7 linked regions of the Xenopus tropicalis genome follow. The protein of the gene in region 4 binds, or shares a complex with, the protein of the main gene of each other region. Links are inferred from orthologs where the notes say so. Each region holds a gene or a part of one and is shown on either strand. Other genes may lie near its edges.

Region 1 (3,664 bases), on a different chromosome or scaffold from region 4:
GTCCTTACATCAACACATAATAATATATACCATTTCTTCTCCCCTGGCTCTGTTTTTCCTTTGTTACATCCCTGAATTAATTTGCCACTTCCGCAGAGTGGTTTCTCAATGTTTCATGTTTTCTTTGTGTAGGCAAAAATTGAATCTGACAGAGTGATAGGCTTGATAGGAAAGAAATTCCCGCAGGAAACGGGCATTAAAGTGCGGAGTGGTTCAAATGCCTTGTCACTGGCCCTGAGAAAAGATTTCAAGCAGCTGCTTCAGGAAATAACCGGGGAAGTGCCACAGCGGCCTATGGATCTCAATATGAAGGAGTTTGCTGGCTTCCAGATAGCCCTTTTGAATAAAGTATGTTATTCCACTGATCGCTTGTGCCCCTTGTGCTTACGTTTGATGTTCCCAGAAGCACTCACATTCTCTATTCTCCACAGGACATAAAGCCACAGACTTTCAGAAATGCCTATGACATCCCGCGAACAAATCTTCTGGATCATCTAACAAGAATGAGGGCAAATCTTCTTAAGTCAACTCGCCAGTTTCTTAAAGGGCAAGATGAAGGTGCAGTATTCTAATGGCCATTCATATCTGCCTATTTTGGTTAAATTCTAATGCAGACATTTTTTAGTATATGGTTGCAATAAGGAAATGATGGAGGAAAGCCATTTTCAGATTTTAAGAAATTGAAGATGTGATTGGAAGCAATAAATTGCAGGAATACAATGCAATGTTGATGCATAAGTTTGAGTTCCTTTTTATCATAAATCTCTGTCGACTTATTTGCATTTGTATCATGAAGAGGCATTTATTGTAGATAAGGCTTAAGCTGCTGCAGATGCATCACTTCTATCACCAATGTAAATTATATGAAATAATGCAAAATTTAATATGGTCCCCACAGATCAGGCACACAGCATTCCTATCGTCCAGATGGGAAATTACCAAGAATACCTAAAGCACATTCCATCACCCTTAAGAGAGATTGATTCTGACCAACCCCGGAGACTTCACACTTTTGGAAATCCATTTAAATTAGACAAAAAGGTAATTGAAGGCTTTGCATGCAAAGAAAACATGTAACAGAGATTTATTTTTTCTAAGCTATTATTTTAGATAAGAATGTCCAAGCAACTTTAGGTGTCCCTGTAAAGTCTTTCCTTTTCTTTCTTTCTCTTTCTCTTTCTATTGCTCTTTTCTTTGTTTCTTTCTCTTTCATTCTTTCTTTCACTTTCTCTCTTGCTATTTTTTTTTTCATTCTTCCATGACATATAAAAGTAACACTTGCTGTTGCAATCACGAGATAGCTATGTTAATATCACAAGTAAGTGTTGCAGGAAAGAAGAGAACCACATGCATAAAGGCCAACTGTAAATTTCCCTTGAATGTTGGCATATGATCAACTGTTATTTCGTTTCAGGGGATGATGATTGATGAAGCTGATGAGTTTGTGTCAGGGAACCAGAATAAACAGAAACGCACAGGAGAACCAAACATGCAAGGAGTCCCAAAGAGGAGGCGGTGTATGTCGCCATTGTTGCGCTCCAGACCACAGTCTCCATCAGTGATAAACAACCACATAGGAGGGAAAGATCAGGTGCCACCTGATCTGCCAAAACCTGTAGCTGTACATAAAAGTAAGTATGATGATTACTTTGTTAAATGTATATGCCATTTGGATTATTGGAAAGCATAAGTAACTTGATAATATGTGTGTTTTTTTATGTTGCAAAATGGTCCAAAAAAGGGCTTGCATATCGGCTCTTCATGCATGGCGCACTGCACATGCATGAGCACAGCAATGCTACTTCAAACTTAGCATAGAATCAGGCAGAAAGCAGACCTGTAGGGGGCACTTTGTTACTGATTGTGGTTGCTTGATTGACACAACCCAGATAAAGCACTTGATCTTTTTAAAAGCTATGTACTGATTAGCTGCTATAGGTTTACTAGAGCAGGCCAAACTTTGGCCATTTGGTTATATATTTCAGTTTAAGGGCTCTGGTACACGGGGAGATTAGTCGCCCGCGGCAAAACTCCCTGCTCGCGGGCGACTAATCTCCCCGAGTTGCCTTCCCCCTGCCATCCCACCGGCGAACATGTAAGTCGCCGGCGGGATGGCAGACGCGGCGGCGCGATTCTGCGCAAATCGCCGAAAAAGACTCGTGAGGCTTTTTCGGCGATTTCCCGAAATCGCCCTGCCGTGTCTGCCATCCCGCCGGCGACTTACATGTTCGCCGGTGGGATGGCAGGGGGAAGGCAACTCGGGGAGATTAGTCGCCCGCGAGCAGGGAGTTTTGCCGCGGGCGACTAATCTCCCCGTGTACCAGAGCCCTAAAAGTTAATCTTTTGTTAACATACTGGGTTTTCTTATGCTTTTTTCTCTTTAAATAACATTGATTTTGGGTAGTTTCTTCCTTCAGTTGGTTTAAATTTTTAATTGTGTAAATCCATGTTTATATCCTGTCCTGCCAACAGGTAATTTGTTTTACACTGACCATAGCAGTTCATATATTTGTTTGCGGTCCGTGTCAAAAATGTATGTTGATTAAATCCTTTGTTAATTATAGATTCTGATCCGAGCAACAATGTTGCAATGAATGAAGCTACAGAAAATCATGTTGCGGACCATCTTCGTGATGACTTAGTGACTACTAAATCAGAGCCATTTGAAACACTGTCCGATGCTGCCGTAGAAGCAACTGAAGCTTATGCAGCAGCGAGGGACTGTAACTTTACGCCAAACGACACTAGCGATGTGTTTCTTGAAAAAACAAAAGACTCTGGTGATACTCCAAGCTGCTTACAAAACAACACTGCTGCATTTGCACACAGAAAAAGGAGGTTGCAACAATGCAGGAGCTATGAAGAGGCCAACATAGAGCTCAAAGCACAAATACTAAGAGAAATTCGCAAGCCAGGCAGAAGTAAGTATTATACTGTCTGTCCTGTCATGGAAACAAAATCATATCTGCTAAATACTATAACTATATATTTCTGTTTTTAGAATATGGAATCATTTTCACTTTGCTCAAAGATGTTCAAGGTGACCTACAGACGCGCCTTCTTTTTCTGCAGAATGTCATCAAAGAGGCAGCCAGGTAAGAAGTGCCACGCTACACGTTTTGTACCTTTGCTGCTTCTTTTAAAGTGCAGAGGACCATTGCAGCTGGATGGGAAGAGTCACAAGAAATAAACACTGCTATTTTTCAGTAGAAAAATACTTATTGGTCTGAGCTACTTATTGTGCCATCCCATGGTGTGGGGAAGCCACCCTCTGAACATATCTGAAATTTTTCTGGACACATATTTTGATTGTCACTACTTTGCAGCCTTTTTCATGTAATTCCATTTTTTATTTTGCCTTTTTTTTTATTGGTGATTGCTTTGCCCATTTTGAGCTCCTTGTTTGTACAGGAGCTTCCCAAAAATCCCGGAAAGGGCTGCATAGTAAGACTAATTGATTCTTCAAACCCCTGGACACAAGTGCAACAGCACTAAGGGGAGCAAGAATTTCTTAGTGCTCGTTTTAAGAGCATTTGCTGCTCTTGTCAGGGAACGTGGGATCAAAAATATTCTCCCTGAAAACATTTTATAGTTTATGTAATGACACCACCCTTTCAACTACTCCTTCTTAGTAAATATGTCCTGAGACACCAAATAGCAGTGT
Region 2 (3,664 bases), on a different chromosome or scaffold from region 4:
GATAATCATGTGTCTTTTTTCAACCTTACTATGTTACTATGTATAAAAGATATAACTCTTAATAGCCCTGAGTACTGTTAGTCATTTGGAAAGTTCTCATGCAATATCTGTGTACTAGCAGAACTTGCCCTTCCACAATGACTTTTTGTTGTGTCTTCAGCTAGTGCATTCAGGCAGATTCTCAGCCTGCGAATAAGTACTGGCCAAGAATCTGCCCCTATGCTTTAAAAATCTGAAAGTTGTGCCTGCACCCGATAGCATTACGGCCCAGATGCGGGCAAATGCAGCTTATTTCAGCCTGAAACTGCATAGTTGAGCAGTTTTCAGCTAAAATATGCTGCATGAGCCTGTACTCGGATGGCAGCAATACTTCAGGATGCAGGCACAGCTTTCAGAATTTTAAAGAGGAGGGGCAGATTCTCGCCCAGTGCTTATTCTGTTACTTTTAACAGCTCACTTTCTATTTCCCAGTTTAATATATCAACCTCTGAACAGCTAAAATGACAGTCAACACAATATAAAACATACACACAAATTTTAAATATTTTGTCTACAGAATTGCCTTACCTTCCTGAAGCTGCTTTGGCGAATGACTTTTGGCAGAACTGGTTAATAGCATTCTCCTTAAAAGAGCATCTGTTCCAGTGATCTCCTCCTCACAGATCCAGTCATCCACAATACACAGATGAGGATAGTTAGTAGAAAGCAGACGCAGTAATGCAGAGTGCAAACCTAGAACATACAAAAAAAACTATATCCAATTACTGGCAACTAAATTGGTATTTCCTTAAAGGACATGTAGCAAGCCTACATTTTCTTACAATGTATATCAGTTAGGCAGATCTCCCCCATCCAAATGGCATCATTTGTACTGCATATATCCCCTTCATATACCAGCAACATCACATTTTCCTAAAGCAAATAGCAGCATTCACCCAGCAGCCATTCTTTCTCTGCACATAATTTAAACGTTACATTTAAATCTGCAAACAGCATACACACTAAGACCGTTATTCAGCATAAATTTCATCAAGGATCAAGGCTCACACAGGCAGAACTGTCTTTGATAAAAGTTTTTTTTTTTATCGAGCACTGTAATGGTTAAGCTAAGCTCAGGAGAGGAGGTTAGGAGCCGAGTTTCTATTGGAACCAGCAATGCAATCTCTACATTGGCTGCTAGACTAGAGGGTATGTTTAATAATCTTAGCTGAGAAAAACTGAGCATGCCCAGAAGCGAAAGCAAATTCCTGAGGGAGGGGGCTGAGTGGGTTACAGGAGGAGAAGGAAATCCGAAATCCAAGTGAATAAGGGAACACTACAGCCTTACTGTTAACCTCTAGACAACCAGTGTGGCAGGTATTAAAAGATTTCAAAGAGGCTGTTCACTGATTAAATTTTTGTGTGTGGAGGGGGGTGGGTTTACATGTCCTTTAGGGCTCTGGCTGCCGCGTGTGCCATCCCACCGGCGACTTACATTGTCGCCGGTGGGATGGCAACTCGGGGAGATTAGTCGCCCGCGAACAGGGAGATTTGTCGCGGGCGACTAATCTCCCTGTGTGCCAGAGCCCTTAAAGGACCAGTAACACCAACAAATGAAAGTGTATAACAGTAATTACAGTATGATGCACTATTGCACTGCACTGGTACAGCTGGTGTGTTTGCCTTAAAAAGACTACTATAGTTCATATAAACAAAGCTGCTGTGCAGCCATGGGGGCAGCCATTCAAAGGAAAAAAGACAGGTTACTTAGCAGATAACAGATAAAGCCCCATTATATTCTACAGAGCTTATCTGTTATCTGCTGTGCACCTTTTCTCCTTTTTTCCAGCTTGAATGGCTGCCCCCATAGCTACACCGCAGCTTATTTATATAAACTATTGTAGCCTTTTTGAGGCAAATACACAAGTTTTTGCCATTCTGAAAGCATTTAACCTCCTAAAGATGCCATTAGAGCTGCAGAGAGATCCTCTCTCTTCAGTGTCCAGGCTGAGGAAGTGGTCTTAATACTATCTGACAGGTGCCTACTACTTTGGTACCCCCAGTAATTATACAGCCGGGAAAATAAGTATTGAACATGTCAAGTTGAATATATTTCTAATGGGGCTATTGACATGCAATTTACACCAGATGTTGGTAACAACCAACAAGAAGTCTTTACATTAAGTTATGTGTGGAATGACACAGGGAATAAGTATTGAACACAAAGAAATGGAGGGGCAAAAAGGCATGGGAAAACCAAGAAAACTGCTGAAATCTGTCGGTATTTCACCCTAAACAGGCCATGACCAGGTGCTCCTTGCAAGATTTCTGACAGAGGAGTCAAAAAATAATCACAAGAGTTGAGCAAGAGCCAAAGATCACTCGCAGAGCGCTTCAGGAATAATCTTAAATTAGCAGGTACAGTTGTTTCAAAGAAAACAATAAGTAATGCACCCAACCAACATGGCCTCTATGCATGCTCACCGCTCACTGCTGAAGAAAAAGCATGTTGCTGCACAACATTTAGACAAGCCAATAAAACTGTGGGAGACTATAGTCTGGTCAGATGAGACCAAAATTGAACTATTTGGATGTCATTGCACACACCATGTTTGGATGAGAAATGGCACTGTACATCACCCCAAAAACACCATACCAACAGTGAAGGTTGGAGGTGGGAACATCATGGGGTGGGGCTTCAAGCATATGGTTCTGGCAGACTTCATATAACTGAAGGAAGGAGAAATGGAGAAATGTACCGGGACATTCTTGATAAAAATCTGCTGCCATCTACCAGGATGCTGAAGATGAAACAAGGGTGGACAATGATCCCAAACACACAGCAAAGAAAATTCTCAAATGATTTCAGACAACAAAAATAAAGCTGCTAGAATGGCCCAGTCAGTAACCCCACTTGAATCCAACTGAAAATTTACGGAAAAACCTGAAGATCAGAGTTCATACAAGAGGCTCCTGGGACCTTTTGATTTGAAGTTTGTGTGGAAGAATGGGCCAAAATCACACCTGAGCAATGCCTTGAAGCTGTTCTTACCAACAAAGGCTTTTCTACGACATATTAAGTGTAAGTGTGTTCAATACTTATTCCTTGTCATTCCACTTTAGTATACATAACTTAATTTATGGACTTATTTGTTTTTATTTCCTTGTATGTGTGGATTACTTGGGTTGTTACTGACATCTGGTGTAAATTTCATGTCAACGGCCCCATTAGAAATATATTTACTGAGAAAAACATTGACGTGTTAAATACTTATTGTCCCTGCTGTGTATTTTTTTTCTCCTTTATGGTGTGCGGTTCCTGTATAAATCAATCTTGTGTTATTGCTCCATGATCAGTCTCACTCTCTAAAAAATGCTTCTTGATTACAGACCTCTAATATATATAATTTCCAGCTATATAATTTGTGCATTTCCTTTTATCTTTTTACATTTATTGCCCACATGGTGTATCTATAATGTTGATGCATTAAATGAAGGACACTTTTTTCACCCGGTACCTTGCTGATTTTTTTTACATATCTGTTTTTACTATGTGCACCCAAGCATCACTTATATTGAAAAAGTAAGAGCACCTATATGTTATATGGTATGGTATATGGGCTCTTTAACAAAGTATACATACTGAGTGTCTTATGCAGAAGAAGTATACACTTAAGTTACCAGA
Region 3 (4,091 bases), on a different chromosome or scaffold from region 4:
CTGCTGGAGAAGCTCTATTAACTGATGTGTTTTAAAAAAACATGTTTTCCCATGACGGTATTCCTTTAAGGACTGTTTATATCTAAATTACAGTCAACACATTTAAAAGAAGCTAAAAGCTGGAGTAAAGGTGAACTATCCCACTTGAAGATTGTATTTTTTTTTTTTTTTTTTTTTTTAAACAAAAACCTAAAAAAATTCTCAGGTCTACCAACCTCCCTGTCTAGTCCTCTATTTACTATCCACGGGACTGGGGAAAGCTACACAGGCAAATTAAACAACACATGGTTTGCTCAGCAGATGAAGAAAAATAAACAGCAGCTTAAAAATGTCTATGAGTGGTTTATAATGCTTACAAAGAAAAAAAGAATATGCTTTATCCATGGTGGCAGTGTAAACCCTTACATCTAAGTTTTAGCCAGTGAACAAGCACTTGCACTGATAAAAAACAGCACATATAACTATGACAAGATGGATAAACAACAGGAAAAATATATGTCCACATCAAATAGTGATCAGGATGCAGGCTGACAATCGTCTTGGCAAGACCCATATTGATCAAGCAACTGAGGCAGCACATCTATCATTAATAAAGAACAGAAATAAGAAACTTCCTAAGTCAAAAAGGCAGGCAATCATCTGGGTCAAGATCTGGACTCATGTCTATGAAGATTCATCCAGGTCATGATATACAGTATCTAGTAGAATTAAGTCTAAAACAACTGAAGAAGTCACTCGGATGAGTGGTGAAACGTTTTCAAGAAAAACTCAGAAAAGTCCAGTTGTTTTAGACTTAATTCTACTAGATATCTGGACTCTTCTATTCTAGAAACCCAGAGGCATGCCCACCCCCCTACTGATCATTTAGCCCTCTTACCCTAAAACTTCATTATGTTATTTATAAAGAAATAACATGAAGTGCAGCAGGGCATGGAACTGTAATTTATTTTAGACACCTAATCACACTATAAGGCCACAAGAAAACAAGTAATAGATTTTCAATGAGCAAGGACCGACTGGTCACCTAGACCAGCGTTTTTCAACTAGTGTGCCGCGAGATGTTGCCTGGTGTGCCGTAGGCAGGGCACCAATGTACTAGGGGGGCACTGCTCTTGGCACCAATGTACTAGGGGGGCACTGCTGCTGGGCACCAATGTACTAGGGGGGCACTGCTCTTGGCACCAATGTACTAGGGGGCACTGCTGCTGGGCACCAATGTACTAGGGGGGCACTGCTGCTGGGCACAGAGTTAAATTTTTTAACATTTTCTAATGGTGGTGTGCCTCGTGATTTTTTTCATGAAACAAGTGTGCCTTTGCCCAAAAAAGGTTGAAAAACACGGACCTAGACATAAAAAGCTGTATAATAAAAGTCCTGTTCAAATTAAACATGAAATCCAAATTCCTTTTTTTATTAAAGGAACAGTAACACCAAAAAATGAAAGTGTATAAAAGTAACTAAAATATAATGTGCTGCTGCCCTGCACTGGTAAAAGTTGTGTGTTTACTTCAGAAAGTCTACTAAAATGTATATAAATAAGCTGCTGTGTAGCCATGGAGGCAGCCATTCAAAGGAGAAAAGGCACAGGTTACATAGCAGATAACAGATAAAACACTATTGTATTCTACAGAACTTATCTGTTATCTGCTATGTAACTTGTGCCTTGTCTCCTTTTTTCCAGCTTGAATGGCTGCCCCCGTGGCTACACAGCAGCTTATTATATAAATTATAGTAGTGTTACTGTAGCAAACACACCAGTTTTACCAGTGCAGGGCAACAGTGCATTATATTTTTATTACTTTAAAGCTCTTTCATTTTTTGGTGTTACTGTTCCTTTAACACATCCATGGCCATTATAAAGACATTCAAAAATCCCAGCTGTCAATCATATATTGCTTGCCCCGCCTCTATGCCTTAGGCCTAGAGGCGGGGCAGACAATAACTTTAACTTTCCTTCAGCACTTCCTAGATGTCACTGCACTTCAGTGTATGGGTTTGAGCATCTGGTCCTCAATTTTATCACATAAACAAGATTTTGGCATGATACAAAGCTTGTCTAAATAACAGTGTCCACAAAATGGTGCCTGCCTGCTTGCTGGGATTGTGTAATTCCAAGACTGAAGGAAACAAGATTTAGATTATTTATATAGAGTAAGTGAAGTTTATTTTGCTCAACTAACATGGTAGAACTAAATTTGGAATTATTTGTTAAGGTGACAGGTCCCCTGTAACAGCAATGGGAGCAATGTCACACTTACACTGTGCAGCTGGAGGAATGCACACACATTTTGGGCCCAGTGCATACTACAAATTGTGGTGAAGACAAAGAATTTTGTGTGGAAGAGATAATTTAGTAGTTATTCTGTGCCCCCCCACCTCTGCACAAGGCACAAGCTAATTGCACACTACCAAAAGAAATGAGAGGAAACACTTGAATAGGAAAACGTGTCCTGGAAGAAAATCTAAGTAGAGCAATTTAGAAAAGATTACAATCCCTTCGTTAGCACACTGCTGACACATATCAGTTCTAACATTAACACTGCAAGCAGTAGGGCAGGGTAAGAATCCTCACGGGAACTGCCACATATAAATGTCGGCAACCCGCTTCTGCTGGCACATAAATAAACTAACTAAGCGGTACCAAGTAGCTCCTTATCTGCACTTACTAACATATCTTAGTAATACGAAAATATACCTGCCTATCCTGAACATCAGCATAAACATCATCCGCTCCCACAGGGATGCGCCATGCTGCTGCACGCTTATTGCGTCACGAGGTCACGTGCTAGTTCCAACCAATCCGCTAAATCACTGAGCCATGTCAGCGAAACAGAGTTAGCGTTCCATAGGGGGCGTGGCTTAGCGCAGGAAGAAGCCGGATCTTTAATCTCACAGCTTCAACATTTACTAAGAACTATTGGCGCATGTTTTACAGGAGCCTTGTCATTGGTGAGCAACCTGCGCTAGGCGTGGTGCAGAATGGCTTGCCAGTCGGCTATTTGGAAGGAGGTGGCTTGCGGTGAGTCCGGACTGACAGGTGAACGAAAGAGAGAAGGTAAGTACGAAACTGTAAGGATACAGGGCCCCACATTAAGTGCCGTGTATTCTAACCGGACTAGCCCATGACACCAAGGGAAAGAGAAATCATGGGGCTGCCATACTGATTTAGGGAAGCCCGCTCCACTGTTAAGGTAACAAGAATATTGATAAGTCTTTGGATTTGTACCATAAACCCGCCATAAATATTTTCTGCAATCGTGCCCCCTTTCCTTTTCCAAAATACTTGCACTACTCTAGCCCCGGCCTTGGGAGAGGGCAAAATAGGATAAAACTACTTTCTGGCCACCCCGATCACTGGGGCTGTAGTATCTAGAACGCAGATTAGTGTTGGTTCAGAGAGGTGCAGAGAAAAGGCAAGTATTTCAGAACCCGTAAGGAAAACCCTCCTCAGATGATCAGGTTTCTAAAGGTAATGGCACACACAATACTATTCAGCTGGCTGGAAAGAAAGTGTGACCAGTGGGTCCAGTTACTGGGATGACACATACACAGATTGCTTGGAAGGGCTTCAGCACACTTTCACATTCTCATGTCTCCCAACTTAATTGGAACCATGAGAAGTGATCATGAGGGATTTTCAGATGGATGAATAACCCTTCAAATGACATTCAGGTAAACCATCCATTTAAGTAAATAGACTTAATGTTTGCCAAGGAACAGCGGACATATTTTTGCTATTACTACATACTGTTGACAAATTGTGGTGCCCTGGCTAATGTAACATTATTCTTACAATAATTCCATGATTATACCAAATTGTGGCCCACTGCTTCCTATGGAACTGTGCAGATGAGAAGTGGTCATATCTGGTTATCATTTATGAAAGCTTCTGGCCCAAGTATGCTCTGTAAGGTACAGCCTGCTTAGTGTGGCTTGCAGCCTTTGGGCTCATGTGCCATGTGCAGTAGCAATCAATGCTTGACTCTCTAAAGAAAATTATCTTGGGCAAATGTGTTTTAAAAAAGAGGGCTCCTGGCCCAGGGTAAAAAAAGTTAGTGATTTTGTTGCATGGGGTCCCAACAAATTTGTTT
Region 4 (4,203 bases):
GAGTGAGAGTGCTGTAGGTGCCAGTCAGAGTGAGAGAGCAGTGAGTGAGTGAGAGTGCTGTAGGTGCCAGTCAGAGTGAGAGAGCAGCAAGCGAGAGTGCTGTAGGTGCCAGTCAGAGTGAGAGAGCAGTGAGTGAGTGAGAGTGCTGTAGGTGCCAGTCAGAGTGAGAGAGCAGCAAGCGAGAGTGCTGTAGGTGCCAGTCAGAGTGAGAGTGCTGTAGGTGCCAGTCAGGGTGAGAGAGCAGTGAGTGAGTGCTGTAGGTGCCAGTCAGAGTGAGAAAGAGAGGCAAGGGTGCCAGGCAGTGTGTGGCACAGTGAGAGAGTGCAGTAAGAGACAGTCAGGCAGTGTGTGGCACAGTGAGAGAGTGCAGTGAGAGACAGTCAGGCAGTGTGTGGCACAGTGAGAGTGCAGTAAGAGACAGTCAGGCAGTGTGTGGCACAGTGAGAGAGTGCAGTAAGAGACAGTCAGGCAGTGTGTGGCACAGTGAGAGAGTGCAGTAAGAGACAGCCAGGCAGTGTGTGGCACAGTGAGAGAGTGCAGTAAGAGACAGCCAGGCAGTGTGTGGCACAGTGAGAGAGTGCAGTGAGAGACAGCCAGGCAGTGTGTGGCACAGTGAGAGAGTGCAGTGAGAGACAGTCAGGCAGTGTGTGGCACAGTGAGAGAGTGCAGTAAGAGACAGTCAGGCAGTGTGTGGCACAGTGAGAGAGTGCAGTAAGAGACAGTCAGGCAGTGTGTGGCACAGTGAGAGAGTGTAGTAAGAGACAGTCAGGCAGTGTGTGGCACAGTGAGAGAGTGCAGTAAGAGAGTGAGACAGAGAGAGTAGAGTGCAGCGGGGCAGAGTGCAGGAGTTGCTGGAGAGCAGGGGGTGCCAGTACCTTACCTGAGTGCCGAGCAGCGCTCACTCTCTCCCACACAACATGAGTCCGGTTGCCGAGCCCGCAGCCAGCGGGCAGAAAGAGAATGTATGCCAGTCCTATGCCAGTCGGAGTGCCAGTAGCAGCCCTCGGTGCCCGACGCGCTCACTTTCCCCCACCCGCCTCCGGGACTCACATCGGAACCCGACCCGTCTTTGTCTGCCACCCCGCCGCCATGTTGGCACTCAGCAGCGCGCAGCTCCCAGCCGAATGTTTGCGCGGGAGTCTGGGAGTTGTAGTTTTCGGCGCAGCCAGACTCTCCCCGGGGAGCGAGCGGAAGGCGAAAGCAGGAAAACTACACTACCCGGCATGCCGAGCGCCAGTCTCTCTCTTACCGCCCTATCCCGCCTGGCTGAGCGTACGTCACACTGACGCAGCGAGTTATGGGCCGGAGAGACTACAAGTCCCAGAAACCATCGCGTCACCAGAAAAAGGGGCGCTCGGCGGTGAGGCCGGGGACAAGGCAAAGATGAAGCTGGTGAGATTCATGGTTTTGGGTTCTTATATTTTCTCTCATGCCTTTATAGATATGATATGCCCTGGCGTGTCTGTATCCGCAATGTGCTTCCCAAATGGCGCCTTTCCAACCTTTGCCTGAACTACAGCTCCCAGCATCCCCCAACAGTGTTGTAGTTCTGCGAGTAAATAGCAGGTCCTAAATGTGCCCATTCCTCTGTTTTATGTGTGTGGGCTCCAGGTCCTCTCTAGTCCCTTCCCTGACAAAGTCCCTACCCTCACTTAAATATGGCCATCAGATGTACATAGATGTCAGTTTACCCTCTGACAGGGTATTTAGTAAGAGTGGTGCAAAAGTGCAGTAACCCATAGCAGCCAATCTACTTCCATGAGTCTGACCTGCTCTAAATTGATCAAAGCTGATTGGTTGCTATGGGCTAATGCACATGTGTTTGTTGCTAAGGGGTCCACATCCTGTTATATAGTGAATAAAGTACCCCCTATTGTAACATATAGGGATATTATAAGCCCCCGAGGGGTTCCTTATAATATATAGTGAATAAAGTGCCCCCTATTGTAACATATAGGGATATTATAAGTCACAGAGGAGTTCCTTATAATATATAGTGAATAAAGTACCCCCTATTGTAACATATAGGGATATTATAAGCCCCCGAGGAGTTCCTTATAATATATAGTGAATAAAGTACCCCCTATTGTAACATATAGGGATATTATAAGCCCCCGAGGAGTTCCTTATAATATATAGTGAATAAAGTGCCCCCTATTGTAACATATAGGGATATTATAAGTCACAGAGGAGTTCCTTATAATATATAGTGAATAAAGTGCCCCCTATTGTAACATATAGGGATATTATAAGTTCCCGAGGAGTTCCTTATAATATATAGTGAATAAAGTGCCCCCTATTGTAACATATAGGGATATTATAAGCCCCCGAGGAGTTCCTTATAATATATAGTGAATAAAGTGCCCCCTATTGTAACATATAGGGATATTATAAGCCCCCGAGGAGTTCCTTATAATATATAGTGAATAAAGTGCCCCCTATTGTAACATATAGGGATATTATAAGTCCCCGAGGAGTTCCTTATAATATATAGTGAATAAAGTACCCCCTATTGTAACATATAGGGATATTATAAGCCCCCGAGGGGTTCCTTATAATATATAGTGAATAAAGTGCCCCCTATTGTAACATATAGGGATATTATAAGCCCCCGAGGAGTTCCTTATAATATATAGTGAATAAAGTGCCCCCTATTGTAACATATAGGGATATTATAAGCCCCCGAGGAGTTCCTTATAATATATAGTGAATAAAGTGCCCCCTATTGTAACATATAGGGATATTATAAGTCCCCGAGGAATTCCTTATAATATATAGTGAATAAAGTGCCCCCTATTGTAACATATAGGGATATTATAAGTCCCAGAGGAGTTCCTTATAATATATAGTGAATAAAGTGCCCCCTATTGTAACATATAGGGATATTATAAGTCCCAGAGGAGTTCCTTATAATATATAGTGAATAAAGTGCCCCCTATTGTAACATATAGGGATATTATAAGTCCCAGAGGAGTTCCTTATAATATATAGTGAATAAAGTGCCCCCTATTGTAACATATAGGGATATTATAAGTCCCAGAGGAGTTCCTTATAATATATAGTGAATAAAGTGCCCCCTATTGTAACATATAGGGATATTATAAGTCCCAGAGGAGTTCCTTATAATATATAGTGAATAAAGTGCCCCCTATTGTAACATATAGGGATATTATAAGCCCCCGAGGAGTTCCTTATAATATATAGTGAATAAAGTACCCCCTATTGTAAAATATAGGGATATTATGTCACAGAGGAGTTCCATGACCATATACTCCAAGTTGACTTCTAATATATTACAAAAGGGGGTACTTTATTTATTATAATATACAAGATTCAGTGAGTCATGTGACAGAAATGACATCACTAAGCTCTGATTATATCTGATGACATCACTAAGCACCGTTTATAAGGATATAATTTACAGTTTGGGCCCATAGGGAAATGACCAAACTATATATTATATTGATATATATGTATGATTAATTTGCCCCCTGGGCCTATACAGAGGAGATGGAAAATGGAACAACAAAGGGAACACTTTTAAATCATCTTTAATATGAGGTAGACATTGATATTCTGAGGCAATTCGTAATTGTTTTTCATTGTTTATTTTTTTGTGATTTTTCAGTTATTTAGTTTGAAATTTTAGTAGCTTTCTGGTTGCTAGGGTTTTGTTTACCTTAGCAACCAGGCAGTGGGTAAATGAAAGACTGGAATATGAATAGGAGAGGGGCTGAATAGTAAGATAAGTAATACAAAGTAACTGTTAATATATTTGTAAGTGTACACAGCAATAGTTTGTGGCTGCTGGGGTCAGTGACCCACATTTGAAAGCTGGAAAAATTTAGAAGTGGAAGGCAAATAGTTTTAAAACTATAATGAAGACCAATTGCAACGATACTAGGAATAGGACACAGTAAATTTAAAGGGGAACCATCCCATTTGCATAGAATAGAAACAAGATCATTTTAGCATCCCAGCAGCAGCCCAGAGCCCACTGAGCATGTGCAGTGCCACAGACACACAACAGATCGCCTAACAAGATCCAAAATGGGAAATTGCTGGGGGCAACTGTGAAGGCCTGGATCGTTACTGGTATAGGGCTGCTGCCCCTCTGGGCTGGTGCTGTGAGTACAGTATATAAACAGCTTTTCTGTGTTCCTATATTCTCATATCCTTTAAAGGGGTAGTTATTTAGCTTTT
Region 5 (4,197 bases), on a different chromosome or scaffold from region 4:
CACGGGAAGGTTTCACTTTGGTCAAAAAAACAATACTATCTGTAAAAATGGACCCTTTATTGGAGCTCCCTATAGATCCTCTTAAGTCCCTGTTGTATTTCAAATGAGGGGTGGGCACATCCTAACAATGCCTGCCAGAAGCACAGTAGGAGGGGGATAGCCAATCACAGCCCTGCTGTCACACAAGCAAAGACAGGCTTCAGTTCCCTATCAGGTCAGCCTAGCTGCCGATTGGTTTCTATCCTACAGTGCAGCCGGTTCCCCTGCATAGCCTAGGAAAGAAGGCAGTAGAAAGTGGGACAGATGGGCTAGATTAGTGGGGTATTTGGAGAAAATTTAAAAAAATCAGCCTGAAACACAACTTTTTAAAGGAAATTCCTTCTACAATTCATTTGCACAATATTTTTTTCACACAATATTTCACGTTTACACTGCTGCTCTGGCCCCTTCAGAAGAAAGTTAGCCGCTTATCTACCTGTGTATGTGACCTCTCCAACTTCCTCCCCAATAGATAACCTGGCTAAAAATCCAAGTCCAGATATCTATTGGGCAGGTTTAAAAATCTCATTGTAGCAAGTACTGCATAGGCTCAGTTATGCTTTCCTGTCAACTGCATGTACTAGGGGCCATTTCAGTCAACACAAAATGGCCAGTGTCAGACTGGGCCGCCGGGGCACTGGGAAAAACCTGGTGGGCCCCAGTGGCCCGAACCCGATCCCCGCACACCACTCCTGTAGGTCCATAGGTCTCCATCCCTTGACGCACTGAAGGTAAGTGTCACTTATGCACGATCGGGGGAGGGGGTTGGACAGGTGGTGGGGGCCCCTGCGGGGATGGTGTGAAGGCAGGTGCATGGGCTCCTGAAGCAGTAGCCCCGGTGGGCCCTGCTCCCTGCTCCCCCCAGTCCGACCATATCAGGAAAATGTGTAAGGCCACTTTAAGTCATTAAGCTTACTAAAACATTTTTTCATACACCAGTTATCCTGTTTGTATGTTTTTGGGGTGCAGGAGGAAACAAACATAAAAACACCTTTGCAGACAGTACTTGAAAGCCCTGTCTAAGTTACTTCATATAAAATGCTTACTGTAAGTGAGTACACCTGTCACTCTCAGCGGTTCTGTTAGTCCTATATTAATTGCCACAGATGTAACACAGAGGCAAAACACCATTGTGGGCTAAACTAGAACTAACACAAAGCCCAACTTATTAAGTACTACACCTCCCCGAATTCCTTTATGGCAGTACACTGTAAAGGCTGTTGGGAATTTAACGCAAGAAGAACCGAACCTGAGGCCGGGCAAAGTAAGAGCAAGTTGCGCAGTAGAACCCAGATGGAGAATGTTTCAAGCTCCCATGTGCAGTGACCTAGGGAAGGACCCATAGCAACTGTGCAACCCCCCACACCGGGTACCTTTATCCTGCTGTTCTCTCGTGCCTGATGGTGACTGATTTTTTTTTTATTATTATTATTATTAAGGTCGGGGTAAAAAAAAGTTAAAAACCCAAAGTGCAACGGAGAGTCGCTCCCGAACACAGCCAGAAGGAAAATCTTTTACTGTTCCGTTACGAACAGGAACGCTTGAGCGCTGGCTGCGGGGAGCAGTATTGCTGAGGGACCTCCCACACCCGGAAGTAGCGGCGCAGTGCGAATAGAATCCTAAACCAAAGCACGGGATTTTGAATATTTCCATTGTAAGCAGTTCTATTAGGGCTTTGTCTGCTGAAGTAAGTAGTGATGGCAGTATCGCTGTACAGTATAAGGCAGGAGAATCTTCTAACCTGTGGCTTCTATAGTTCCCAGACTGAAGCAGCCTGAGCATCATTGGTGTTAAGAATATACTCTACTGGCCTGGCCCCACACTCTAACATGGGGGAATGAATTAAAAGATGCAGTTTGCCGCTGGCGTAGTAACCCTTAGCATCCCAAAGGGGGGGCCAACGTTGCTGGTGATATGTTTAAAAATAATATGGGCTAGTAAACCTGGGCTAAACTTTGCGTGTCACAATGTTGATAGACAAGTAAAGAGGAAGTAGACTGGGTAAAGCAAATTGCATGACAGTTTTTGCCCCACTCAACTCTTTTCATGTTACATAATGTTTATATATAACGTGTTATGTTGTACATACTACTGTGAAACCCAGATACTGTAGATATTGTAACTGTAGAGTAACTGGGCCATTGACTGGTAAGCAGTTTCATGAAAAATTTCTTTTTTTCCTGTCCTTATTTCATCCTGATTCCAAGCATTTGAGGGGAAGTTTGCCTTTTCAATAAATATAATGTGATGTTTTTCTGCTGGTCTTCATTTTTTGTGTTAGCTTTACATTTTCAAAAGACCATAAGGCACAAGTATATAGTGAACCAAGCATTCATATTGTATTTGTGATACCCTCTTTTTTCCAGCATTAGTTCATTTAATAGGGTTTGTGCCTGTTGTTGCAATTAATTGTGTTATTGTCGCTGTTACAAAATAGACAACACTGAAAATTGTCTCTGTGTGTGTTTTAGCAGAGATAGTTTTCGGTATTGTCTATGGCAGGGTATTTTCTGGTGTTTTGTAGCTTGCTACAAGTAGCTCCACGTCAGAGCCCTAAATAAGGTAGAGTAGGTAACTTCCATAACTATTTTATTTTAGCTTGCATTTCACTTTGTCACCCCTGGTTACATCTTTGGAAATAAAGTGAATCACCAGTGGAAAGGCATACCTGTTGCTTAATTTTCGAACTTGCGCAAAGTTTCCTCCTGCAGGCAACTTCGCATGACTTCATCACGTATGCCTTCCCGCCAGTGATTCACTTTATTGGCGGTGGAAAGGCATTTCGGTGGAGATTAGTCGCCCCTGGAGCCGAGGTTGCGGGCGACTAATCTCCCATGAGCAGTCACCATTACCTGAATTAAGATGATCGTTTCTACTATTATTTAGAGCCATGTTCAAGGATTAAATGTCTCTCGTATCTCTGATGAGTTGGATAATATAAACACTATTTACTTTTCAAGGTATGTTTATTGCTGTTCTAACATTTTACCATAAAAGAACAAATAATTGATACATTTATTTTTTTTTGTAAATAGCCTTATTTTCATTGCAGGTTATAACCATGGCAGTCACTATAAATACTGAGTTGGATCCTGTCTTTTTGAAGGCACTTGGATACCTCCACTCAAAGAGCAAGGACTCTGCTGAAAAACTGAAGGCATTGCTAGATGAGTCACTGTGCAAAGGCAACGACTCTGTCTACCGTCCTCAACCGAAGGTTTAATAATTAATAATTATTTAATATTTTAAAAACAAGAATACATTTGCTTGTAATAGCGTATTGTATATAGTTCTCTAAATGTTGTGACAGTTTATGTAGGTAAAATTTGCTTCAAAGGAAAAGAAATGCCAACACCCCACCCCTCAATGTGTTTATTGGGGAATGGAGTAATTTGCAAATGGTTCTATCCCACTCAGCAAAATTGTACTTTGTAGTTTGCATAGCAAATAAGATATGTGTTGAATTGTGCTCCCTGACTAAAAAATAAGCAACATTAAAACATTTGTGCAAGGAAGTATGTATTGCTGTAGAAGAATTACATAACCCTCCCATTTTTAAGGTTCTCGGTAATAACCCGGAAGAACTGTTGTTGAGGTTAAAGTATAGACTCAAACACCTTGCATCTAAATTTGGGTAAACGTACAAACATAGGTGCAGCTTTGCACCATTGCAGTAATCTATACCAAAATTCCAAAGTTTGCCACCTGTGTTTTTGATATAGTTCCAGGAGGCTTGTCATAATCCAACAATAATATTGTTGGCAATAACCAGTCAGCATATGGAGTATGAAAGCTTGACATATGAAAACATATAGCATATCTCTTTCTTGCTTGCCCTCTTTTTGAATTAAGTTATTTTTAAAGTAATGAAAATTAATCTTTAGTTTATAATTTCTGCAGGATGATTAAGTCGTAAAGAATATTGTTCCACACTTAATGTGTATCTGAAAAATATACCTAAGAAAAGTATGTATGTGAATCTTTTGCTGCTTTTCTTAAAGTAATGTGTTTCTGTTTAAGGAAATGGAGCAGCCCAAAGCAATGTTATCTAAAGTTAAGCCTGAAACAAAGGCCTCTAGCAGCACTCCATCAAGCAGTATGCTAAGCAAACCACTGACTTCAGAGAAGTTAAAGAAGGAGGCTGAGAAGAGATCTGCT
Region 6 (3,664 bases), on a different chromosome or scaffold from region 4:
TTTAATGTACATTTAGTGGAAAAAGTAGGTCTACAAAAGTGGATCAGCATCTCAGCTTGGCACAATGAACTGGTTAATAGTACATCACATCATCACTATAATGAAAAAGATTTGCTGACAAACAAGCAGATCCCCTTTCCCAAATATTCCTACCTAAGGTGGGCGATATCAGGCTAATTTGGCCCTGAATGGATATAGGAACGGTTGAAGTGAGGACCGCATCAATGAGCCAACGCGGTCATCGATCCAACTTGAAAAAAAAAAAATCAAACCTGCCTGATCGACACCTGCTCAATTTTCGGCCGGATATCAGTTGTGTAGGGTTGTCCGGGGCCCCCATACACGGGCAGATAAGCTGCCTGAATGGGTCTAAAGGACTCAAAATGACAGCTTAAATCTGCCTGTGTATGGCCACCTTTACACTTTATCAAAAAAGATCCCCAATGGCCAGTCAAACAGGGCCAGAGTGATTGGGACACATTCACCAGATTAAAGGGCCACCTTACGCGTTTCGTACCCTAATGGTACTTAATCATAGGCCTATGACTGCCTGTGACTAAGTACCGTTAGGGTACCAAATGCGTAAGGCAGCGTGTTTTGGGGTTTGTATGCTTTTAATATGGATTTTCAAATAAAATGTGATTCTTCTTTTTGAACTTTCTTTTAATTTTTTGTAAAGTTTGGGATACGTTTGGTGAATTGTATGGCCACCTTTAGCCTATTACCATAACATATCACTCAACCAAGGCTGGATGGTTGCATGGACACCACTATCTTATCTACTACAATCCTATGGTGGGCGATATTGAGCTAATTCGATTGTTTGGTCCTATATGAAAATGGTGGGGATATAGGACATCGGACTAAGGACCGTATCAATGAACCGACACGGTCCATGATCCAACAAAAATAATTAAACCTGCCAATCGAGATCTGGCCAATTTTAGGCCAGATATTGGTTAGGTAAGACTGTTGGGGGTGCCCCTACACAGGCAGATAAGCTGCTGAATCGATCTGAAGAACCAGAATCAGCAGCTGAAATCTGCCCATGTATGGCCACCGTTAGATATAATTAGCATAGTACACCAAATCTCGTTTAACACAAACCTCCTCTGCTTCCTAATATAAAAGCAAGGTCCATTAAAACTAGCACAGTAACCTAGAAGTGAGTGACTGTTTTGCCTAAATACATCCTGCCTGTAGCAGAAGAGACACCCGTAGGCCTATAACTGTACAGATAATGAAATCCCTCAACAGCAGGAAAAGATATGGGTTAGGAAGGGAGACAAAATGCCTTACTTTCATTCTGAAGAGTATTTATCACATCGTCCACTATGGAGTCCGGGCAAAATCCAGCCGTCTTGGATAACAAGCCCAACAGGGAAGCGATCTTCAGCCTGACAGAGGTATCATTCTCCTTAAAAAGGAAATGAAGAGTTTAATGAAGAGAAACGGTTTTATGCAGAGGTATTAATTCATCACTGTGGGTACATCCTATTAAGGCCTCAAACAGTTCAAAACAGCTCTTCTCTTTCTGCATCATTTGAAATCCTGGCAGGGGAGGAGGGACTAAAACATTGATGTTACAAATTGTTACAACTTCTCCACAGCTTACAGACAGCATGCAGGAACTACATAACCCACAATGCACTGCACTGGGATGTTCCTTTCCTTATTGACATCACGTGTGCAGCAGGGAATTGTGGGATTGGGAGGATGCCAGCTGAAGGCAGGCCGAGGACAGGTGACTACTGTTACATTTTATTTAAGTCACAAAGTAGTCAGCCAGATCAGCAGGGGAACAGGGGGTGAGGCATATTATGACATTAAAAATCAGGAAAAGGCTGTATATTTTTATTTGATGTATATTGCAAAGTTGCTTGAAATTATGTTTTCTTTTCAAAAAGCTTGTGTTTGGGTGAAGTTCCCTTTATGGTTAGTGATTTGTCTCCCAGTATGAAGGCATGAAGTCGGAGCAATACAGACACAGCACCCATATTCCCCTACCTTATAATAATGTTCCAGGAGGATTCGCACAACTCCCTCCACACTCTCTGCTTCGACAGGCTTTCGGGCAAACTGCAACAGGTACTGCAGGGCGTCCGCTGGAGAAGTCGCCTTGCACAGGTCGATGTGAAGAGCTGCAGATTTGCTGGGTTTTGTCAAACGCAGCTTCTTGGCCGAGGGCTCCTCTAGCGGCTGCTGCTGCAAATCAAAATTGAATGGTACATGTATGGGATCCCTTATCCAGAAAGTTCCGAATTACGGAAAGGCCGTCTCCCATAGACTCCATTATAAGCAAATAATTCTAATTTTTGAAAAAGGTTTCCTTTTTTTCTGTAATAATAAAACAGTACCTGTACTTGATCCCAACTAAGATATAATTACCCCTTATTGGGGCAGAACAGCCCTATTGGGTTTATTTAATGGTTAAATGATTCCCTTTTCTCTGTAATAATAAAACAGTACCTGTACTTGATCCCAACTAAGATATAATTACCCCTTATTGGGGCAGAACAGTCCTATTGGGTTTATTTAATGGTTAAATGATTCCCTTTTCTCTGTAATAATAAAACAGTACCTGTACTTGATCCCAACTAAGATATAATTACCCCTTATTGGGGGCAGAACAGCCCTATTGGGTTTATTTAATGGTTAAATGATTCCCTTTTCTCTGTAATAATAAAACAGTACCTGTACTTGATCCCAACTAAGATAGAATTACCCCTTATTGGGGGCAGAGCAGCCCTATTGGGTTTATTTAATGGTTAAATGATTCCCTTTTCTCTGTAATAATAAAACAGTACCTGTACTTGATCCCAACAAAGATATAATTACCCCTTATTGGGGGCAGAACAGCCCTATTGGGTTTATTTAATGGTTAAATGATTCCCTTTTCTCTGTAATAATAAAACAGTACCTGTACTTGATCCCAACAAAGATATAATTACCCCTTATTGGGGGCAGAACAGCCCTATTGGGTTTATTTCTTTCATAGTTAAATGATTCCCTTTTCTCTGTAATAATAAAACAGTACCTGTACTTGATCCCAACTAAGATATAATTACCCCTTATTGGGACAGAACAGCCCTATTGGGTTTATTTAATGGTTAAATGATTCCCTTTTCTCTGTAATAATAAAACAGTACCTGTACTTGATCCCAACTAAGATATAATTACCCCTTATTGGGGGCAGAACAGCCCTATTGGGTTTATTTAATGGTTAAATGATTCCCTTTTCTCTGTAATAATAAAACAGTACCTGTACTTGATCCCAACTAAGATATAATTACCCCTTATTGGGGCAGAACAGCCCTATTGGGTTTATTTAATGGTTAAATGATTCCCTTTTCTCTGTAATAATAAAACAGTACCTGTACTTGATCCCAACTAAGATATAATTACCCCTTATTGGGGCAGAACAGCCCTATTGGGTTTATTTAATGGTTAAATGATTCCCTTTTCTCTGTAATAATAAAACAGTACCTGTACTTGATCCCAACTAAGATATAATTACCCCTTATTGGGGGCAGAACAATCCTATTGGGTTTATTTCATGTTTAAATGATTTTTAGCAGACGTAAGTTATGGAGATCCAAATTACAGAAAGATCCCTTTTCTGGAATACCCCGGGTCCCAAGCATTCTGGATATCAGGTCCCATA
Region 7 (3,664 bases), on a different chromosome or scaffold from region 4:
GAAGAGAATTCACTGCTACTACTATACGTGACCACAAAATAGCAGCCAAGGTATCTGTGCAACCCTTATAAAATAAAGTAAGAACTTTGATTGCCTGAGTTACAGAAAAAGAAATCCCAGACATCAGTGACTTCTCCAAGAATGTTAATATTGTTTGAGCACTTTCTGGCCAATTAGGAATCTCTTTGCTTTCGGAGTTTTCTTGTTCCATCTTCAGACAAACTAGAAACGTGTGAGCTACAAGTTGGTTGGATGCAGAAGCAACAAAAAGGCTGGAGTCCATTTGTAGATTTAACATCACCTCTATAATTGCTGAGAAAGGAACATGCATAAACCATTACTCACTGAAATTGGGCTAAGGCCAATGGCAAAGATGTTAAAACCAAGGAGATAATGAGGTGGAGAGTGCTTGTTGAGGAAAAAGAATTTTGAGGAATAGAAAACACAAAATACATGGAGATTCCATCATGCGATGGAATGTACAGATAAGGACAGTGATCCCCAACCAGTGGCTCATCAGCAATGTGTTGCTCACCTCCCCCTTTGAGATTGCTCCCAGTGGCCTCAAAGTAGGTACCCATTTTTTTTTTTCGATTTCTGGCTTGAAGGCAAGTTTAGAAGCATAAAGAAGTAGTTTTATTCCAAGGAGAGCCTCCTGTTGGCTAGCAGTCCACATGGGGCTGGGGGTGGAGTGGAAAGTATCAAAGCAAATGTGCAAAGTAAAGGTGGCCATACATGGGCAGATTTCAGCTGCCGATTCTGCAGCTTATCTGCCCATGTATGGGCACCCCCAGTGGGCCTACTTGATCAATATCTGGCCTAAAATTGGCCAGATATTGATGGGGCAGGTTTGCTTTTATACAAATACATTCCATCTTTATTCAACAATTTAATTAGTCAGATATCGCCCACCTTGGGTGGGTATATCAGGTGAAGATCTGCTCGTTTAGCGACCTTGCCAAACATGTGGATCTTACTGTTTATGGCCACCTTAAGAAATTGAGATAGAAGTTTTGGACACAGAGAAAAAGTGGGACATGGGTAGACAGGAAGAAAAGTGAGGGGTTTAAAGAACCAGTAACATTAAAAAGCAAAAGTATTTAAATTTAAAGTTTGTACTGGTTTGTCTAGCACCTAGAAATAAACTATTTTGACCTATTTCGTCTATTTTATATGAGAAAGGTTGTCCTGTAGAGATCCATGGATAATATTTAACCCCTATTTTATATAAAAACAATTTTATTCCACAGTGATTATCTGTTATCTGATGGTAACCATGTGCCCTATTCATCTTGAATGGTTGCCCCTATGGCTACACAGTAGCTTATTTATACAAACTATAGTATTGTTTTTGAAGCAAACAATTTTTTACTAGTACATAGTTAAAGCATGCATAAAAAAACACTTTTTGGTGTTACTGTTCCTTTAAGGCTGAGAAGTGACTGAGGGAATAATAACATTCATGGAAAAACAATTAGCAAGGCAGTGAGAAAGGTGGTCATGCTCTGTACTTTCACATTCAAAAAATTAAAGTGAAACAAGTCATCTACACTCACCCGATTCTGATAAAAAGAAAACAGCCTGCTTATGCTGAACCATGCTGAGCAGTCCTTGGATCCAGGCCCTTCTTACTGATGCATCTCTCCATAGCTCATTTGTATAGATATATTTACCAAACATACGTTGCACAATATTCTTCATCTAGAACAGATGGCAAGACAATCAGTAACCTGGCAGATAAAATGGGGGGGGGCATATTAATGGGCCTGGGGAACAGACAGGGACCAAACACCCACAGAGATTGAGATTTTATCCTAAGGCATACTGGATTATACACTTAATTTAAATTAACAGACCTACAATTTGGTTGTAGCCCAGTCCAATACCACAGGATTTTCCCCATATCTATTAGTAACATTTTTAAATTCATTTTTAAACAAATGACTGTGCATTCTTTCTTTCATGTTTAATGTGATTTGCTCACCATCAGATACTTAAAGCCTGTTTCATGGCCTGCAAGCATTCCCACAAGGCGCATGGAAAAACTAAGAAGATTTGGATCAGGATCACCGGCATTCAAGACATGCTGAAAAAGCATCAAGATGCATTGATTCTCTTCCAGCAGTTGCTCCGCTGAAACTAGGGAGATAAGCAGAAAAAAATCATCTTGAATTTATAGATAAACTGCTCATAGAAATGCAACATGAACACTCATAGCGGTAAGACCTTGAGATCTTGTAATTTTTTGCACAAAGCAAATGTGCTGGACTAGTGTTTGTACGCCAATCCTATTTTTTACAAACCATATAGGTGGCCTTTACAGGGTCAATCAACCAAGAGGGCTGCACAAATAGTGTCTTATTTTATGAATCCTAATTGCTATTGATCAGTCCAACTTTAAAGGTGGCCAAACACAGGCAGATTTTGTTGTGTGACATTTCAGGACAATCAAATAAAATGAAAGGGTGCAAAACGATTGTAAAATTTATGATCGTTCCAACCACATTGTGCCAATAGTTGACTTTTCACCATTGTGTATGTATGTAAATGCATGAATGTTTGTGTAAATGTGTAAAAAGGCCTTTCCGGCAATGAGGGTCCCAGGATCACAGGGAGAATGTATGTGGGCAGGCTCAGGGAGGCTGGAGGGGATAAGGTCTAACAGCAGACACGAGTGAGATCATGTCTGCTGCTAGAAGTTGGGCCCTGCGACAATTTCGTTGCAGGACCGACTTGCCAGCCACCTTGGCTCGTTGCCTAGGGGGTTGGTGGCACACTGGACTTTCTGCGCTGGCGGCAAATGTGCAGAGAAAGGACCCTGAACTGCGTAGCGCATATGTGATATGTGCTTGCTAGTTAGAGCTTTTTCTGCAAGCACGTATCACATATGTGCTTGACAGGAAAGGCGTTAAACGTTCACTGTGCATGCCTGAGGGGTTGGGTTAAATGTGAAAGTAAACAAAGGAACAGAGAGCCATTGTCAGAGAGCCAATCGTTTGTTAAAAGGATCCATTAGCCCAGGGGCGCTGCTACCATGAGGTGGCAGCGCCCCCAAAGTTACCAGGGGCAGCAAGAAGCAGCTCCTGGTAACTTTAAGAGACAAATTTCTGTTTTTTAAAACGGAAATTCAACTTTGCTAGTGTAGAGAGTGCGATTGCACTTGCGATGCGGCATGCCCTGGACACTCTCCTGTGCTGTAAAGGTAAGTGTTGGGGGGCGAGGGGGGGCAGCATTGGCGGAGCCGCAATGACCATGTTGTTCTTATTTCTGTTAACACAGATACAGAAATATCAGCACAGATAGTAACATATCTACTGGTGGTATTGAGTACCTCCACAGTTTTCTTCGTGCCTATGTATTAAATAATAATAAATATATTGTATTTTAACTTGATTCCTAAAGCTTTCCATACAGCAAGATGAAACTTATGCATCTATTTTAAGAAATAGTCTAACTAAAAGTAAAAAAGGAGATTTAACCTGAATTTACTTCCCAACCTTATCTATAATCTGTGAGCACCCTAATGTCTTACCCTTAAAAATTCTGAATGATTTATTGCCTGTGGTTGAAGTGGGTGACCTATATTACCAAATTTTAAATAAATTCAAAGTTTACATCTAATTTAATATTCAGTTACCTGTGTTAAGCATTTGCGTAAACCAGT

Evidence for each region.
Region 1: ints9 (region 4) and ints6 share a complex: the UniProt entries of both Homo sapiens proteins name them as parts of the integrator complex. The link is inferred for Xenopus tropicalis from reciprocal best matches to the Homo sapiens genes INTS9 and INTS6.
Region 2: ints9 (region 4) and ints2 share a complex: the UniProt entries of both Homo sapiens proteins name them as parts of the integrator complex. The link is inferred for Xenopus tropicalis from reciprocal best matches to the Homo sapiens genes INTS9 and INTS2.
Region 3: the proteins of ints9 (region 4) and ints11 are in contact, whole or in part, in a cryo-EM structure (PDB 8RC4), measured with the Homo sapiens proteins. The link is inferred for Xenopus tropicalis from reciprocal best matches to the Homo sapiens genes INTS9 and INTS11. Residues at the interface, in NP_060720.2 of Homo sapiens: Glu127, Gly198, Tyr199, Ser200, Gln201, Lys202, Tyr231, Glu338, Phe339, Ile342, Phe343, Glu345, Gln352, Lys354, Val355, Tyr356, Leu357, Pro358, Glu359, Pro360, Pro361, Arg511, Arg512, Tyr513, Glu514, Lys515, Ile516, Glu517, Ile518, Met519; in NP_060341.2 of Homo sapiens: His94, Gln97, Ala98, His137, Leu138, His139, Gln140, Thr141, Lys274, His277, Tyr278, Lys280, Leu281, Phe282, Ile283, Pro284, Trp285, Arg291, Phe294, Ser449, Pro450, Ser451, Ile452, Pro453, Val454, Gly455, Ile456, Ser457, Leu458, Leu461.
Region 5: ints9 (region 4) and ints12 share a complex: the UniProt entries of both Homo sapiens proteins name them as parts of the integrator complex. The link is inferred for Xenopus tropicalis from reciprocal best matches to the Homo sapiens genes INTS9 and INTS12.
Region 6: the proteins of ints9 (region 4) and ints4 are in contact, whole or in part, in a cryo-EM structure (PDB 8RC4), measured with the Homo sapiens proteins. The link is inferred for Xenopus tropicalis from reciprocal best matches to the Homo sapiens genes INTS9 and INTS4. Residues at the interface, in NP_060720.2 of Homo sapiens: Lys2, Tyr4, Lys18, Ser21, Thr22, Leu43, Val44, Gln45, Glu87, Glu89, Leu90, Asp92, Asp97, Thr122, Glu145, Arg146, Val147, Pro148, Lys159, Glu174, Ser176, Thr177, Ser192, Gln195, Phe206, Gly207, Ile379, His380, Ser384, Asn385; in NP_291025.3 of Homo sapiens: Leu53, Gln54, Leu57, Gln58, Arg61, Lys62, Pro86, Ser87, Leu90, Lys91, Ser94, Gln125, Gln129, Asp132, His164, Gln207, Asp208, Pro209, Arg210, Arg212, Asp244, Tyr245, Glu246, Gln247, Trp296, Phe837, Gly840, Leu841, Val842, Val843.
Region 7: the proteins of ints9 (region 4) and brat1 are in contact, whole or in part, in a cryo-EM structure (PDB 8UIB), measured with the Homo sapiens proteins. The link is inferred for Xenopus tropicalis from reciprocal best matches to the Homo sapiens genes INTS9 and BRAT1. Residues at the interface, in NP_060720.2 of Homo sapiens: Gly276, Met277, Gly279, Glu280, Cys282, Ser283, Asn284, Ala286, Leu287, Arg290, Asn291, Tyr315, Asp317, Ser318, Ala319, Gly320, Ser483, His484; in NP_689956.2 of Homo sapiens: Ala406, Pro407, Cys416, Pro460, Gln506, Lys507, Arg508, Cys510, His511, Pro512, Arg517, Glu545, Leu549, Gln552, Asp556, Pro557.

Annotation. Positions count from the first base shown.
Region 1 is NC_030678.2:149,888,531-149,892,194, reverse strand, and holds part of ints6 (integrator complex subunit 6), read left to right. Parts: intron 1-132; coding exon 133-348; intron 349-431; coding exon 432-558; intron 559-898; coding exon 899-1,041; intron 1,042-1,414; coding exon 1,415-1,631; intron 1,632-2,564; coding exon 2,565-2,921; intron 2,922-3,001; coding exon 3,002-3,095; intron 3,096-3,664. UniProt on the Homo sapiens protein: Component of the integrator complex, a multiprotein complex that terminates RNA polymerase II (Pol II) transcription in the promoter-proximal region of genes.
Region 2 is NC_030678.2:91,803,552-91,807,215, reverse strand, and holds part of ints2 (integrator complex subunit 2), read right to left. Parts: intron 733-3,664; coding exon 568-732; intron 1-567. UniProt on the Homo sapiens protein: Component of the integrator complex, a multiprotein complex that terminates RNA polymerase II (Pol II) transcription in the promoter-proximal region of genes.
Region 3 is NC_030683.2:93,135,182-93,139,272, reverse strand, and holds the start of ints11 (integrator complex subunit 11), read right to left. Parts: upstream 2,854-4,091; 5' UTR 2,700-2,853; exon of another isoform or gene 2,696-2,699; intron 1-2,695.
Region 4 is NC_030681.2:151,882,501-151,886,703, forward strand, and holds the start of ints9 (integrator complex subunit 9), read left to right. Parts: upstream 1-1,366; 5' UTR 1,367-1,383; coding exon 1,384-1,392; intron 1,393-4,203. UniProt on the Homo sapiens protein: Component of the integrator complex, a multiprotein complex that terminates RNA polymerase II (Pol II) transcription in the promoter-proximal region of genes.
Region 5 is NC_030677.2:72,494,121-72,498,317, forward strand, and holds the start of ints12 (integrator complex subunit 12), read left to right. Parts: upstream 1-1,356; 5' UTR 1,357-1,439; coding exon 1,440-1,442; exon of another isoform or gene 1,443-1,524; intron 1,525-1,633; exon of another isoform or gene 1,634-1,726; intron 1,727-1,780; exon of another isoform or gene 1,781-1,801; intron 1,802-2,925; exon of another isoform or gene 2,926-2,999; intron 3,000-3,074; exon of another isoform or gene 3,075-3,091; coding exon 3,092-3,256; intron 3,257-4,059; coding exon 4,060-4,197. UniProt on the Homo sapiens protein: Component of the integrator complex, a multiprotein complex that terminates RNA polymerase II (Pol II) transcription in the promoter-proximal region of genes.
Region 6 is NC_030678.2:168,920,506-168,924,169, forward strand, and holds part of ints4 (integrator complex subunit 4), read right to left. Parts: intron 2,206-3,664; coding exon 2,008-2,205; intron 1,418-2,007; coding exon 1,300-1,417; intron 1-1,299. UniProt on the Homo sapiens protein: Component of the integrator complex, a multiprotein complex that terminates RNA polymerase II (Pol II) transcription in the promoter-proximal region of genes.
Region 7 is NC_030685.2:31,742,700-31,746,363, reverse strand, and holds part of brat1 (BRCA1-associated ATM activator 1), read right to left. Parts: coding exon 3,638-3,664; intron 2,140-3,637; coding exon 1,985-2,139; intron 1,702-1,984; coding exon 1,557-1,701; intron 313-1,556; coding exon 1-312. UniProt on the Homo sapiens protein: Component of a multiprotein complex required for the assembly of the RNA endonuclease module of the integrator complex.